Linked DNA regions of Saccharomyces cerevisiae S288C. Changing the gene in region 2 together with the main gene of any one other region gives a genetic interaction. Each region holds a gene or a part of one and is shown on either strand. Other genes may lie near its edges.

What was found. A genetic interaction does not mean that the proteins touch.
Region 1: mutations in ELA1 (region 2) and ECM8 together harm fitness more than expected from each alone (negative genetic interaction), as found in Saccharomyces cerevisiae (2 studies listed by BioGRID).
Region 3: mutations in ELA1 (region 2) and YJL070C together harm fitness more than expected from each alone (negative genetic interaction), as found in Saccharomyces cerevisiae (2 studies listed by BioGRID).

Annotation. Positions count from the first base shown.
Region 1 is NC_001134.8:388,082-391,791, reverse strand, and holds ECM8 (Ecm8p), read right to left. Parts: upstream 1,566-3,710; coding exon 501-1,565; downstream 1-500. Other genes in the region: PFF1 (Pff1p), read right to left, coding at 2,576-3,710. UniProt on the Saccharomyces cerevisiae protein: May be involved in cell wall organization and biogenesis.
Region 2 is NC_001146.8:212,724-220,530, forward strand, and holds ELA1 (elongin A), read right to left. Parts: upstream 5,940-7,807; coding exon 4,800-5,939; downstream 1-4,799. Other genes in the region: BNI4 (Bni4p), read left to right, coding at 1-1,877; exosome non-catalytic core subunit CSL4, read left to right, coding at 2,200-3,078; PDR16 (phosphatidylinositol transporter), read right to left, coding at 3,264-4,319; URE2 (glutathione peroxidase), read right to left, coding at 6,414-7,478.
Region 3 is NC_001142.9:307,471-312,475, forward strand, and holds YJL070C (metallo-dependent hydrolase superfamily protein), read right to left. Parts: upstream 3,168-5,005; coding exon 501-3,167; downstream 1-500. Other genes in the region: ARG2 (acetyl-CoA:L-glutamate N-acetyltransferase), read left to right, coding at 1-386; UTP18 (Utp18p), read right to left, coding at 3,452-5,005.

The DNA.
Region 1 (3,710 bases), on a different chromosome or scaffold from region 2:
ATGTATCGAGGCCACACCTTTTCATGCGTCTCCGGATGGGGGCTGGAAAAAACAATGCGAACAGTCTATAAATAAACACATTTTCGCAGGGACAGAGTTTACGCAGACACGCCATTTACATAAGCTTGATTACGCGGATTGCCGTGGTGCACTTTCGTGCACTCGCACATATATATGCACGTACATAAGGGCCTCATCTTCCTCTCCTTTTTTTCCCCCATCTACCTATCGCTGTTATTGAACGGAAGCATCTTCTTTTTTTATTATGCTCAGAGGGCCCTACATGACAGCTTTTTTTTCCCCAATGAGCTGCTACGGTGCCAGATCTGCTTATGTTCATTATTTTGGATGGTAACCGTTATAAATTTAAAGCGTTTCTTCGCTAGGATGGTGAATATTAGTATTTATCAGCCGTCTCGTAATCGTTTAGTTCGTTACTAGCGGCAAATTTTGTTTGATTTGTTATATGATCATTTATTTTTAATATCTTGCGTACACAATCAATTGCTTTTTGTTATAACTTGGACATATAAACATTTCGTTCGGAACGTGGCTAAGTCGCATTGGATGTAGTGTGTAAAATAATTCTCGTATATACCTTCAATGTCTTCTCTATTGCGTGTTTGAATATACGACATCCCATTATAATCAGCATTGAGGTTTCTTAGAGACTCGAAATCCTGAAAGGAATCCCTAATGATTTCATCGTATTCACACCAACCCAAACGGATCCAATTTTCGCAGTGGGGGCATTTCACATGGATTCTCCTAAATCCCCCGTTCAACGTTTGAGTGTAGTAGGCCAAAGGAGAGGGAATGATGGATACAGTAAGAGAGTTCAAAATTTTTTTGCTAAACTCTGGCTCTTTTAATACTTGAATTTTGAAATTAAGTTTTCCCTGGATTTTTAACAGCTTAGACTCGAAATGGTATAAAGTGTGAGGCTTAAATTCAGACAAAATGCCGTGCGCAAAGAATAAATGTTTTAGGTAGTTTTCAGCTAGAATCCAATTATTCCCCTGGCAAAATCTGCACATCAATTCCTTTTTCTTTTCAGAGTATCGCATGTATTTATACATTATCAGAGAATCCAGACTGTTGGGGTTTGACTCTTCGGTATTGGATCTACTAGTATTGTATAGTGCCTGTACACATGCTGAGGGGGGACAATTTTGATTTCTTTTTATTTTATAACCAAATTCGGAGTATCTGTCTTTCATCCAGCCTCGGATACTGTGATGTTGGAAACACCTTGGAAGAAAAATCAGTTGCTTAGAAATACTTTTAAACACATGCTTACAATCAGTGTTGGCTTTACCAAAGTCAAAATTTTCGCTATCGTTGAATATTTTCCTTTGTGGGAATATTTTGTTCTTGATGGTTTTTCTTTTGAGTGATCCACTATTATTGGATACATTCGTGGTGTCCGTTAAAACCCTCGAAAGAGTGGATGTTGAAGAGTCAGGTCTTTTAGACTGTGTAAATTCAGCATTACTGTCTATCCAAAAATCCACACCATTTGTTTCTTCAATACGTTGTGCGGGAAAAAAGTAGCCATAGTCCATCTTAAGGCTTTTAAATAGCTAATATTAAATACTGTTAGGATAGCAAGAGTGGGTGATTTATTCGTTAGAAATATACGAGTCAATAAAGTCTAGTACCGAATTAATGTATTAGCGAACAAATTCTTGTGGTTTTTTATGAAATCATCACTACTTCAATGTGTTAAGGTGTATTTTCGAAACATTTTTCGGCGCTGCCAGTAAGACGTACGACCCTTTTTTTAGTGTCAGTAACTATAAAATTATGACGTCCGAGAATAGCGTAGAAATTAAAAAGGGTAACAATGATATCTAGCAGCTTTCAAAAAAGGGAAGGGCGGCACAGAACCTTACATTGGACAATGCTTTGCCTTCACTTATACGATATTTTGCATTTTTTTGCTATCAAGATTTGGTTAATACTGTATCGTGTAAATTGAGATCCCACCTCCAAAACTTGCTTTTGGACAAAGCGATATATTAAAATAACTTAAATATCCGCTTAACCAAGCTCTTGATCCAAACGATATCCGGCTATAGTCAATCACAATCCCTGAAGAACCATTTCCAAGACCATTATCTTTATACTTAATAAATATATAGATTTACAGGTTATTTGTATATCGCTAGCATTATTGCGTGCTATTTTCTAATAGTTACTGGAGGGTTATATAATTTAGGACTTTATAAAAACGAGCATTGTATGCACTTGCAGCAGTGTAGAACTTATCTGACGAAACATGTTTCTTACTTTGTTAACTGATATCATTAGTGATTTTCAATACCGTCTGAATATCCACTATAGCTGTCTTTAGCGCTACGAAGAGAGCACCGTAGAATGGTTCCAGACGGATTCTTGGCCAGTAAAGTACATTCATAAGTTAAACTCAATAGTTTTTCCTTTTGTTACGAAAAATTTCTCAAAATATTTTTTATTATTTTGTTCTTCTTGTGGGAAGAAGCGAAGCCTTTGGACAACTCCCCCAGTAGGCGAATTTGAGTTTATAAAAATTTACATTTAAAACTAATTAGAATTATAAAATTATAGCATCCTTGACAATAACTAATCCTTTCTGTTCGTTGGTAAAGGAAAAACTTAGAGGTGCGTAATTTATCAATTCATCAAATGCTGGAATTTTCCTAACAGCGGTACCATTTACAACCGATTCCGAATCATATTCTCCCCAATAACAGCTAATAGAAACAGACAGTTCGTCTTTTGTCCCCAACTTGTCATCCTCTACATTTCCATCCGTCAAAAGTTTTGGAAACCACTGGACTCCGATATGGTAAGTTTCCTGATCGAAATCAAGTTTATGCAATTGCAGTTCGTTTATGCCAGAAGCAGACTTGATCGTCTTCGTGATATTAGCTTTCTGTGGGGCCGAATTTTTCTTTTGATATACCGTGATTTCTCTGACAGGTGACTTCGCCTGATGTCTACTTTCAAAAGTTAAAGTGCAAGCCCTGTTCTCCTTCACCTCCAAAAGTAACTCTGCAACTATTGGTTCGTAAGGAGATCTCTCTGTTGAGTTTCGGTTATTATGTAAAACATGAACCTTGACCATACTGCTGATGTTCGTATTTCCATTCGTGCTCAATAAATTAGGTTGCATTCCATCATACATACAAAGTTCCATTCCATTGGTTACGGAAGTACAGTTAATATGTGTAGAGCTATATTTTATACTTGGTAAATCTTGCAGCATAGGTTTTAAAAAATTTCCTTCTCTTCCAAGGACATGTACACTGGCAGCGTTCCCTTGAGACAAATCAATATTTTGAGAAAACCTTACTTTTAATGGGTTACTATTGGTAAAGGGGTGCACTAGGAGCGTTTTGGATGCGGAAATCAAGAAAAGCAGTGCAGTTAAAGAAATTGTGATATAGTTGACCTTATAGAAAAAAGGTAAAATTGGTAGCGCGATCAAAATACTGCCCACCATTCCGAACCTGAGTACATCAAATGTAGCCTTACTTCCTTCCTGGACAGTATGGTTTAGTGCGTCCATGATAACATCCACACTGTTAAACAAAATAAATGATGGTATTGGTACAATTAGCAAAAATTGAATGATCCAGGCATAATCGGTATACTCAAGTTTTAGAGAATTTTCTCTAGTACTCAATCCTTCCTCCATGCTATTAGACCCCTTCAGTAATGGTACC
Region 2 (7,807 bases):
ATACTGATTCTTCTGCCCAAAGGACTACTTCAGCAGGCTCGGTACTTGAAGACACTTCTATGCATAAAAAGAAAAAGAGTATATTTTCATTTCTGAAGAAGAAAGAACCGAAACCAGTTATTGGTAATAATAGTGTAACGAATGAAAAAAATAAGATGTCTTCATCGAGCACTTTCTCAATGAATATTCAAACCTCTTTAAAAACGCCTGAAAAACTAAAGAAGAAGTCTCACAGTAGCAGTAGCATTTTCAATTCCTTCCTAAAGGGAAAAATTGAAACATCAGACTCACCTCGAAAGGAACCAATGAGGCAAAAAAAAAGAACCCCAAAATCCAAGGACAAAAAGCAAGATACTGAACAAATAATTGACGCCGCATCAGTGTTATCCACTGAATCACCTCTACTACGAAAAAACCACGACGATACTCCCGTGAAAATAGATCACGTAACGAGATCAATTGATCAGAGAAAACCTACTCCTTTAAACATGGATCTCATATTGGGAGGTGATAAACAGATAAATACCCCGCTACAAGAACACGTAAGAGAAGATGATGATGCCAAAAATGATCTTCAATTACCAACCAAGGATAATTTTTTATCACTGGACTACGAAGCACCCTCACCAGCATTTTCCAAACACGATACAGGTGAGGTTCTTTTCCCAAAATTTTTGGATAATCATGAAGTCGACTCGATCGTTTCTTTAGAAAGAACAAGATCTACAAAGTCTAACAAGAGAAGTTCAATGAACTCGCAAAGAAGGTCATTGACAGATACGCTATCGATCAAAGCGCAAAGTGAGGGAATGTTCATCACTGAGGCATCTTCTGTTGTATTATCTACTCCAGACTTGACGAAGTCTCCTGCTAGCAGCATTTTAAAGAATGGAAGGTTCGAATACTCAGATAATTTCTCCAGAGAACACTCTTACGAAGGTACCACGAATGAGGACTTTTTAGATATCAAGGACGATAGTGGTCCACTAAAAAAAGATGACATATTTTTAGAGTCTATTGAACAAAAATTTGACCAGCTAGTGATGGCCTCTGATGAAGAAAAAACTGAAGTTGAAAGGGATGTACCAAAACCAAGAGAAGAACCTCTGAAGAAGGATTCTGAAAGGCAAAGCGTTTTTGCAGATGATGATAACGAGTTAATTTCTGATATAATGGAGTTTGCAAGTTTTATTAACTTCGGTGATGATGATCTCAATCTAGACCTAGACTTGGGAGATACAACGGCCTCATATGCAACAGAAACCCCTGAACCTGTTGGAAATGATGAAGTAAATCGCTCTGGTACTTTTGATACACGAAATAACAAAGAGGATAGTTACAAAGAAAGAGAAACTCAATCTTATTCCGCTGCTGGAGCTACTACATACGGAGATGAGCGTCAAGGTCAATTACATACATTTGAACAAGACGGAAGTGAAATAAATGACAACGAATTTGAGAATGAAGATTTCAACAAACACATAGAACAGCCCATAGAAGTTACTCCAAGAAATAATGCATATTTACCAGAATTCGAACCCAATAGACCTGTTTCAATGTCCTTTAAAGGACTAAAAGCCCCAAGAATGAATACTTCTTTTATTGACTCCATGACGCCTGATTCTCCCGTAAAATCAGACTTAACAAGTCTAGGTGAGGTGTATGTAAACAGTAATAATGACCAGGGTGTCCGGTTTTCGTCCCAGATAATACTTTACGACACTTATGGAGAATTCGAATATGATAGACATCCAGAAATTTCCACTTGTAACCAGCTTACTCCACAACTGGCTCAAATGATCAAATTGGAATTAAATGAGTTAAAGAGCGCAATGGAAGTACACGATGATTCGCGATGTTACACACATTTTTATTAGAGCAGAAAACTGGGAGAAATGGAAATGAATCAAATCATACATATCAAGACATTCTAGTTTTTATAAACCTATAATTTATCGCAAGAATCTTGGGTGTTATGTGTTGTATTTGCGGCATCATTTCAAAATACCGTCTGCATTACCCGTCTCCGTCACGTGAAGTAAAAATTTCCAAAAAATATTGAAAAAAGAAAGAAAAATAAGATCCAGAATTCACTGATGATGAGCTTATGGTACGGCATGATTAACTACGCATTTGTATATTAAAGATTCTTTGATTTTTTCCAGAGCATTGAATACCTCAATCTATAAGTGTATTATAATGGCATGCAATTTTCAGTTTCCAGAAATAGCTTATCCAGGTAAACTAATATGCCCACAGTACGGTACGGAAAATAAAGATGGCGAAGATATAATTTTCAATTATGTGCCCGGTCCCGGAACTAAACTAATTCAATATGAACACAACGGACGAACTTTAGAAGCTATAACTGCTACACTAGTTGGGACAGTGAGGTGTGAGGAAGAAAAAAAAACTGATCAGGAAGAAGAGCGTGAAGGCACTGATCAATCTACAGAGGAAGAAAAATCAGTAGATGCATCACCTAATGATGTCACAAGAAGAACTGTAAAAAATATTCTGGTTTCAGTGCTTCCTGGGACAGAAAAGGGTCGTAAAACCAACAAATATGCTAATAATGATTTTGCCAATAACCTACCGAAGGAAGGTGATATTGTGCTGACCAGGGTGACAAGGCTTTCGTTGCAACGAGCCAATGTCGAAATTTTAGCTGTGGAAGATAAACCATCTCCAATTGATAGTGGCATCGGCAGTAATGGATCGGGAATAGTCGCTGCTGGTGGCGGTTCTGGAGCAGCTACGTTCTCTGTTTCTCAAGCATCATCAGATTTAGGTGAGACATTCAGAGGTATAATCAGGTCTCAGGATGTACGGTCTACAGACAGAGATCGTGTGAAAGTGATAGAATGTTTCAAGCCGGGAGATATTGTTAGGGCGCAAGTTTTATCATTAGGTGACGGAACCAACTACTATTTGACCACTGCAAGGAATGACCTTGGGGTCGTGTTCGCCAGAGCTGCTAATGGTGCTGGTGGATTGATGTATGCTACAGACTGGCAAATGATGACTTCACCGGTTACAGGCGCTACAGAAAAGCGCAAATGTGCCAAACCTTTTTGATATGTAACAGCTTATCTACAGTGCATATAGACGCGTATATATTTAAAAGAGGGTATTCGCTTCTTCTTCTTTAGATTGCATTCTTTGATGGTTAGGAAAAAGAAGCGGGAACGTGATTAAACTTTTTATTCTCTTTTATTTATTATATATTATAGTGCATTATCATTATCTATCTAAATTTGCCTTTACACGGTACTGCTTTCCGATTTTACTGGGTAAAGAAGTTTTTCATGAGTACCTCTTAAATCAACCTCACTTAAACCTACAATACCACCGAAGCTTTGAAACCTCTTAAAATAATGATCTCTTTTTTCACGCGCGGTTTCCACCAGAGCTGGCCAATAAACATCATGATTGTACTTGAATTTCAGATCACCACCATACAACGAATCTAGTTCGTTCTTAGGGACATATTTAACAAATGGTTCATCAAAAACTAGCTTTTCACGGGTCAGTGGGTCAATAAAAGGGTGAATTAACTTCAAGAAAGTCCATGCTAACCAAGGAATATTCGTCAAAAGTGCTTTTCCTAGTCTTTCTGGATAATGAGTTTGTAGAATATGCAGCACTTCTTTCCCTACACCAATAGGTGGGATTTTACTATTGCCAGGTACTTTAGGAACATCAGGGTAATCTTTAAAGTCTATTAGCAAAGCTAGAGAGTCTTGACCAGCTGGCATAAAATCGATAACTCTTTCCAACATGAAGACCAAGTGCTGTACCTGTCTGTGAGAAGTCTTTGTATTTTGTCTGCCCGGTTTCAAATATAAGATAGGTCTAGCATCGTTTTCGTAACCCAAAATCACCTGCTTACCTGATTCGTTCTCGACGGCCACCAAGTCAGCAGTTATTTTATCACCATGCTCTTCACCTAAATGACTAATACCGAATTCTCTTCTCCACGCTAGAGTCATGGTGATTCTATCGATACAGTCTTTTAGCACCCATTTAGTAGCCCTTAGGTAACGTAAAAAACATTCTCTTGTCAACCATGCCTTTTCTTCTTCCTCTAAGGGTTTAAGATCATCCTCCGACTTATTTTTTTCACTTGTATAAACCTTCAAGTCAGGGTTACTGAAATGTTTTAGCACTTCGTCATACATTTTTTGTTGCTCACCTGTAAGTGGTTTTTCTTTTGGAATAGCTATCGAAGCAGGAAGTTCTTTGATAGGCTTATCAATATTAATCAAATTTTTTGGGTCTTCTGGAGCCTCCTTCTTTTTGCTAAATCTCTTGAACATTTTTTGCTTTTGTAATTTTTTTTATATAAAGTGGTTTTGTATTATTTGTTGGATGGAGAGAAGGGAACAGTTAGAAACAAAATAAGGATTGAAATATTTTTCTAACGAAGAAGTGGTATTAGTCTATCTAGAACTGATATATATACATACATATATATATATAAATATATATATATTCAGACAATGAGCACAATATTGTGCATGTACAAGAGTGGGATGCGCATATAGTGCATGAACCTATTGCGATAAAGATCTGGCAATATATAGAGAGATATATCGCATGCTTGCACTCAAATAGAGTCGGGTGGAATGAAAAAAATCATAAAAATTACTAAGACGGAAGACAAAAAGATGACGCGCAACGCGAAAATCGCTTATAAGCAGGGATGCCGTTGCTTCCGGTTGCTTTCTTTCTCCGCGGAATGACTGGACCCGTGGGAAATCGCAGGGGATGTGACGGCCTTCGGAGTTGGGTTACTGCTATTTCCGTGGCTCATAGATATACGGACGGGTAGTAGGGCCGGTTGCGGTCACGTGCGGAAAACTATCTCCGTCAGATCCGGCATTTCGTACGAAAATTCCGGATTTCTTCTTCTTGTGGCCCTTTGTTACGGGATTTGCGGTGACACTTGATATTGAAGTTACAACATCTTTGTGGGGATAAGGATGAGAAGTAGTACGGTGATCGTTGGTGATCGCTGTTGTATGGGGTCGAGAACCTGCAGCGTTTGTCTTCGGAGTAGGCCTGAATAGCGCAGGTTTTTTACGATTGAGAAAGATTGACGGTGATTCGGATCTTCTCTTCTTCACCGGCGTGATGGGCTGCGTAACATCTTTCTTCTCTGCTGTGACATTATCCATTTGACGATTTACCTTAACAGGCTCCGGTTTGATGGACAATGGGCCTTTCTTGGGGGAAGACGATTGTCCGCCCGCTTGGCCACCAAAGGCCACACGTTGCGCATGCCTTTTTGCAATGTTGAATCCGCCGTCTTTGAAATGCTTTAGTCTGGACTCGTGATCTTTCAACGATTTCATGTATAATTGCGAATGGGGTTCGTTGTGCAACCTTGTAGTCTTCTTGGTGTTTCTCTTTTTGAAGTAAACAGTGTGGTCAACCACTATGGTTTGCTTTTTTTCTCTTTCTTGCTGCAACTTCTGCATTTCCAGCCTTAATCTCTCTGCGCTTTCCTCTTGTTTCTTTTCCACTTCTTGTTGGTACTTTGAGTATAACATTCTGTATGGTATTCGGTACTTGTTGTTTCGGATGTCTTTGACGACTGATTGACGCACGCAAGACTTCAATAAATCCTGATTCGAATGGTACAGTTCTATATCGTTTTCCTTAACGAAATCAAAGTAATATTTGCAAATAATGTCTCTCTTAGAGACAAATTGTTCGTGTACATTAGTCGGGAAATCTTGCCTTAAAAATTCTAACCATAGTTCATCATCGTCAAATATCAATAGTACGTTGCTTTTCTCAAGTTTTAATAGTTGTGGTATTTTTACTTTCTGCAGTATCCTCTTTAATAAGTGATAGGGGACATTACTCACAGATTGTATGTTTGAATGATTTCTCATCAATGAGATTTCACATAGTGTTTGTAAACTTTTCATATCTCGACATCAATCGATTTATACATTCACTAGAACGTATTTCCATGAACAAAAACCGTTTGCATGTAAGTTACATATGTATCTAATCGTCATAACTGAACAAATCCCTTCTTCGCAAATATTAAATATTTGAAATTTTCTATTGTGATCTTTCTTAAGCCCATCGTGGCAAATGCCGAGAAAAATACGCAATTGTACCAGCTTTATTGAAAGCGCCAGATATACAGTGACAACACCCCGAATATAGTTGAGAAATTTATAGTATTTCAATTATTACATAAAACAAAATTTTGGAATTCTGTGGTTGGGGTAACAAAGAATAAATAGAAGCAACAGAAATTTCAAAACTATTATATACTTCTATGACATTTTTGTTTATATTTGCACTTAATTTTCCTTTTTGTCTGCCTATATACATACCCTTATAACCTTCTTTTCCTCCTTCTTCTTTCTTTCTTGTTTTTAAAGCAGCCTTCATTCACCACGCAATGCCTTGATGACCGCGGGTCTTCTCATCATATGCTTCGTCCATTTGTAAACTTCTGGAAATTCAATTTTGATATTAATGCCAATTCTATCCACGACATTATTCCATGGGACAAAGGCCAAATCTGCTATAGTTAATTTATCTCCTACAAGCCATACGGGATAATCAAAGAAACGACTTTGTGACATTGGTGTTGTACCAGCTGAGTATGCAGCCGCATTTTCCGTGTCTAATTCCATCACCAGCGCTTCTCTACGTTCAGCCAAGGCCATCTCCACTACACCGTAAACTCTTCTAACCTCATCCGTATATCTTTCTACAGCACTTGCTATCTTTTGTGAATGGAAGTATCTGAAATGTAAAGCTTGTCCAATCATTGGCGCATGCCCTGACGTTTGGAAGAACAACCATGCGTTGATTTGTGATTGGTCAGCTAAATCATCGGACCAGAGTAATGGATTACCAGTCTCTTTGTAATATTTATTTACCAAATGTAATAAAATCGCCCCTGATTCCCAAATAGACAAGTTGTCCATACCATGATCGATTAAAGCTGGAACTCTTGCATTAGGGTTCACAGACACAAATTCGGGGGCCCTATGTTCGCCAAGATTGAAATCTAGGAAGATTGTGTTATAATGAAATCCAAGTTCACTTAGTACTATAGCAACTTTGAATCCATTAGGCGCAGACCTGTGAGAGAAAAGGGTATATCCCTCCAGTGGTTGTTCTTGAAAAAATTTTGTAATTCTGGAATACTCCACGTGACTCATATCCGAAAATGCCTGTTGTTGTTGTCGATGTTGTTCTAAGGTATTCTTGATATTATTCTCGTTATCATTATTTTGGCTACCATTGCGGCCGCTGTTATTGTTTTGAACATTATTGTTATTACTACTGCTATTGTTATTATTATTATTATTTACACCTGTTGAAAATTCAAAATTTATATTACTTTGATCGGTGGTTGTATTACTGTTCCTGTTTCCTATGTTTACTTGACGGAGCGCATTGGAGAGATTCGACACTTGGTTGCCGTTGTTATTCATCATTTGGTGTACAACTTAATTTGCAGCTTAAAACAATATGACTAATAACAAAAAATGAAAAACTAAAAATAAAGAAGTTCGTACGGGGGATCTTTATTCCTCTTCGATTCAATTCAGTGCTATAAACAATTCCAAATGAGCTGTTTGAAAAGGAAAGATTTTTGCTATTCTTTTCAACCTCGAGTAAGGAAGCTTTCGTCTTTGTATAGTTGCTTTTCTGGCCTAGTAGAAAGGAAAACTACATGCTGAAGCCACTCTTCCTCAAAAATTCAATAGTGGCAGCTCATCAATCCTCCTATTCGGCGAGAATTGAAAAAAAAATTCCAGGCTGC
Region 3 (5,005 bases), on a different chromosome or scaffold from region 2:
TTCTTACCTATGAAGGCTCGGAGGAAAATTCCTTTGTTTATCTCGATAAGTTCGCCGTTCTACCACACTTGAAAGGCTCGCTGGGTATATCTGATATAATCTTCAATTTGATGTTCAAAAAATTTCCTAATGAGATACTTTGGAGAAGCAGAAAAGACAATGTGGTGAACAAGTGGTATTTTCAACGTAGCGTTGCTGTGCTAGATTTGTCGATTGACTTAGACCCCGAACACTGTGATGAAAAGCAAAGCCAATTTAAACTATTTTACTACGGTAACCCTCAATACGCTAAGAGGGCACTACGTGACAAGAAACGTTTAAGAGAATTCATGAGGTCTGTCAGGGACATCAAGCCAAGTTGGGAAAATGAAAAAAATATTTCATGAAACAAAGACGCATTCTCCTCCTCCTTAACTTTCAAGTTTTCATTTTCAGTTTTTAAGGTATCTATATAAATATATATATCTTACTATGCAAAGTTGTTGATATTTCACTTTACCCTACCAAATGGAGTTAATTACTCCAAAGTGATCCCGAACGAAGTTCCACTCTTGATCCAATGTCTCCTTTCTATATCTTCTTCTAATCATCGGAACGTTGTGCTTTATCGAGGTATCTTTCGCTGTATCGTACCAATTATCTATCCCACCCACGTTCTCCTCAAAGTAAGGCGCCTTTTTAACTCCAACGCCAATCCAATGAGCCTTGTACCAACCTTCATAGCCACTAGATAGCACACTTGTTCTCGACAACTCGCACAAATCTGTTGGGTTCAGCAAGTAAATACTTGCTGCTACACTGTATTCTTCAATGAGAGGTTCTAGCGTGTATGAACTATTGTAAAGAATCGATTTTGATGATAAAGAAATTTTTAGTCCCATCTTAAACATTTTCATGAAAGGATTTGTCTCATATGATCTTTGTTCGCCCACAGTGATATCTCTAGAAGGATTGATTTTGGCTGTTTCCTGGTCTTTCAAATAATCATGTTCTAGAAGCACGTTTTTATTCTTCAAAAAGGTCGATTTTTGCGAATTCAGTAATGAAACAGATGATAATGGCGCAGCTAAAATGGGTATTTGAAAGAGATAAAATAAATATTGAATCATTGTTGCAGTATCCCAAAGCGGTTCTACCTGTAGCAGACCACCATTACAAAGCAGTAAGTTGCACACTAACGATTCAACTTGATCTGTAAAATATAAATCCACTCCAAATTGGGAAGTTCTGCTGGATAGTGGAGAACAATAATTTCTTAGGGTGATTGTATTTTGAAGATTTTGTGACCGCAGAAAATTAACTTTCGCTAAACTTTTATAAATATAATACATGTAATGCGCAACAGTTGGATTGTCACCCTGTGCTGTCCAAAATTTTGGCTTACAATTCATATCAGTAAATTCTTTCCAGTAATATTCATCCGACTCTTTAATGACCAGATCCATAGAACACACATTTGATAAAAAAAACTGCAGACCAATGATATCAGTATTTACAGATGAATCTATTGGTAACTGCTCCTTTTCCAGAGTGAATAAAGGATTGAAGATAAGATCCAAAAACTCCTGGAAATTTGACACGACATTTTCCTTGAATAGTTTGGGAAAAATCCTGGCAATTTGTATATTCCAGCGGATATTATACGATACTAGCTTCCATCGTAGCAACCATTGAGAAAATTTCTTGTACCAGTCTTCACCACTGGAATAGAATTGAAAATTAACTGATACTTGGGCCAATTGGTACTTTGATTTTTCGAGGATATGAATAACGTATTTTATGAAAATTTCTGCTAGGTACTCACCTTCAATGAAATTATCAAACTCCAGAAACACTTTGGCTAATAGGTAAAACCTCATTTCTTTGCCGACCAACTTTGCTACTTTGTTAGGAGTTAGATGGTAATCTATTAGGTAAATATTTCTATACCAATCCAAGAATTCATCATCAATCAATTTCAACCCAATCGCAATGGGTTGGTCATTAGAAGAACAACCAAACTGAAAAATGTCTCTCAAACTGAGTTTCCTTGACGTTTCCGGGTCTTGATAAACTATCCTTTCAGGTTCTAAATTTATTTTCTCCCATATATATTCACTCAATTGACGTTGAGAAATACAACCACTTAAAGACAAGTCTCGATCTACCTTACGAGAATTATAAAAATCTCTGTAGGGAACATTTTTATTAGCTAAAATTTCTTTCTTAGAGTTTAGGTACTGAAACAATTCAAATTTATCTAATAAATAAGATAATCGCTTTCGTGAAACCTCGTTGAATTTATGAGATTGGATTAACTCTATTATGTATGCAAAATCATCCCTAAATTCTTGAAACGTAGGCACATCTGTTAAAAATTCTTCCTCTAGTGACTCCTCCTTACTAGAATAAGGTGAAAGTGGGTTTTGCGTATTTTCCTGATTACTTAAATGGTAAATGTATTGTTTTTTGTAATCCTCTAAATCGAAATATTCACCGGTGTATGGTACTTTTATATTTCCTTTTCCTTTCAAACCAGATTTTGTGTAGTAGTAGTAGTGATCGGTAAAGTAACTTGGGTAATAGTAGCCATGGCGGTGCGGTGTAGCGGCTCCGGTCCCAGTACTGTCTCCATCGTCATTTAAGTCAGAGTCAGAGGGATCTTGGAATCGTTTATCGTCTTCAAATCTCCAAAACTTTGGCAGTGGTTTTGGGTATAAAAACCACTTTTCAGTGTCATTTTTTATGTTTGAAATGCCATCTTGTTTGGAAGCAGCAATGTATCTTTTTCTCATTTGAGAAACCAATTCAAACGGATTAATGAAAAGATCTTTAGTTTCTTCACCCGTTTTCAGATTTGAGGGCGTGTACGATGAGACAAAGCTGTCACTTTCTCCATTTCCATAATGATGGGAAACTGAAGGAAGTGGATCAATTTTGTTTTCTTCGTCTTCAAGATCGAAAAACATAGGTGAACCTAAAACCATTTGCCTGTCAAATTCCGTGGGCAAAGAAATCATATCCATATCATCGACTGATATTTCCTTCTGTTTCAAAACAGATGGGGAGACATCACCGTCATTCTCTGACAAGACCCTGGCTTCTTTATTCTTCGTCTCATTAGGCTTAGTAACAGAATTTTGATATTCGTCAAAGAGTAACGAGGGCCTTCTCTCTACCGCCTGCATAATTCCCAGCGAGATGAATAAGTAAAGTGAGATTTAGATAACTCTTACAGAGGATATTGAGAGGACATTTTAATCAAATTCTTTAAACTCAATGTCCCCTTTTTTTCCATATATTATATTTAATTTCTCGGACAATTTTTCATTTCTGACTATAAATGACAGCAAGAAAAAAGTGGGCAGAATCATATTCAATTTCAAGTTTCTTCGCAATTTTTTTACAGTGATATTTTGTGTATGTATTTGTACATTGCTTTTAATATCTAAGTTTGTCTATAAATGGAAATTTAGTAGTGGTTTAATTTCCAGAGCCTCACTTTACCTTGTTCGTTACCCACGGCCAGTAGCCCACCAGATGGCGAAAATGCGACACTGGTAACTTTACCCAAAGGCGTCCCGCTGGTAGGCCAGTTGCTGAACACGCTACAAGAAGGCAGATGAACTAGTCTCAAAGCATCCTTGACTGCACGGGATGCCATGCACAGTATTTGACCATCAGGGGAAAATTGTAGATTAGAAATGGTAGTTGTTAGCTGGTCCAAGGCGGCGACAGGTGTAGGGGTCGACGAGGTCATAGCATTATTTCTATCGTAAAGATTAACAAATCCACTCTCACTACCTACCGCAAGCCACCTATTTTGCTTTATCTTACTTATTTGAAGAGCCGGACAAGTAGTTGTTGTCCCACCACCAACTTGGATTTTTGTTATACCCACGCCACCTTGGTCTTTCCATCTTCTTATAACATGGCCATTCTTATTCAAGTCAAATTCCCACACTTCACCATACGCGTTTACAGCAATTAAAATGGTCCTAAACTTACCACGTGAAATAGGTTGATAATCGATACAGAAATCCGTTATCACACCTTCTATCTTGCAGCCCATTAACCATAGTCCGGAAGTGGAATGTAAAATGTTAATCCAACCATTATTACCCTGTAAAAGGACAATTCCATGGACAGAATTTGTTTGTGAATTCTGCAAATGTGCAACTTTGAAATTCTCAAATGATCTTTGAGTGGACTCATGTCCATACAATCTGGAAAATTTTTCGATTTTGGCAGTCTGTGAATGAGTTAAATTTTCTAAGGATAAGTCCCAGGAATGCATATATCTTCTTCTACCGGCGGTGAATATATTTTGTTGATTTTGGTTTGATAGAGAAGTATAGAAAGTACATGTTTGTATTGGAGACCCAACCAGGTGCAAACTTGTCACTAGATGGTTCGTTTTCCCGTCAATATGATATATTCTTAAGGTCTTATCATACCCACCCGTTAACAGTAGAGGCTTAGAAGGATGGAATGAAAGAGATTGTATGGCGGAATGAGACGGGTGTGATGCATTTGCATCTTTAAGACGCACAATGTCAAGTTTCTTAGGGGGTAATAGTTTGGAATTCGATAAAGTGTCTTTATAATTGTAAGTAGTAGACAGGATCTTCGTTAGAGCATTAATATCTCCATTAATAACATTATTAGAGCCTTCTTCTTCATCGTCTTCTTCGTCATCTAATTCAGAATCAGATTCATCGTCCACCCATTTGGGCCTTGGATATATCTTTTCAAACTGAGATCTCAATCTGTTGATGTAATGAACACCGTTGATTTTGGACTCGTTATAGGAGGTTCTTAATTTCTTTGTCTTATTGGTAACAAGAATAGGCACTTTAATTTTTTCATCATCCGAATCTATCCAAGCAGCTTCTTCAGAGTCCTCAGAATAATCATCGCTTGAAGAGTCATCTTCGTCATCCACGTCCATGGTATCTTCATTCTTATCTTGACTATCTTCGTTACCACCATCGTCCACAAAAAATAACTGATCGTTGTTAACATG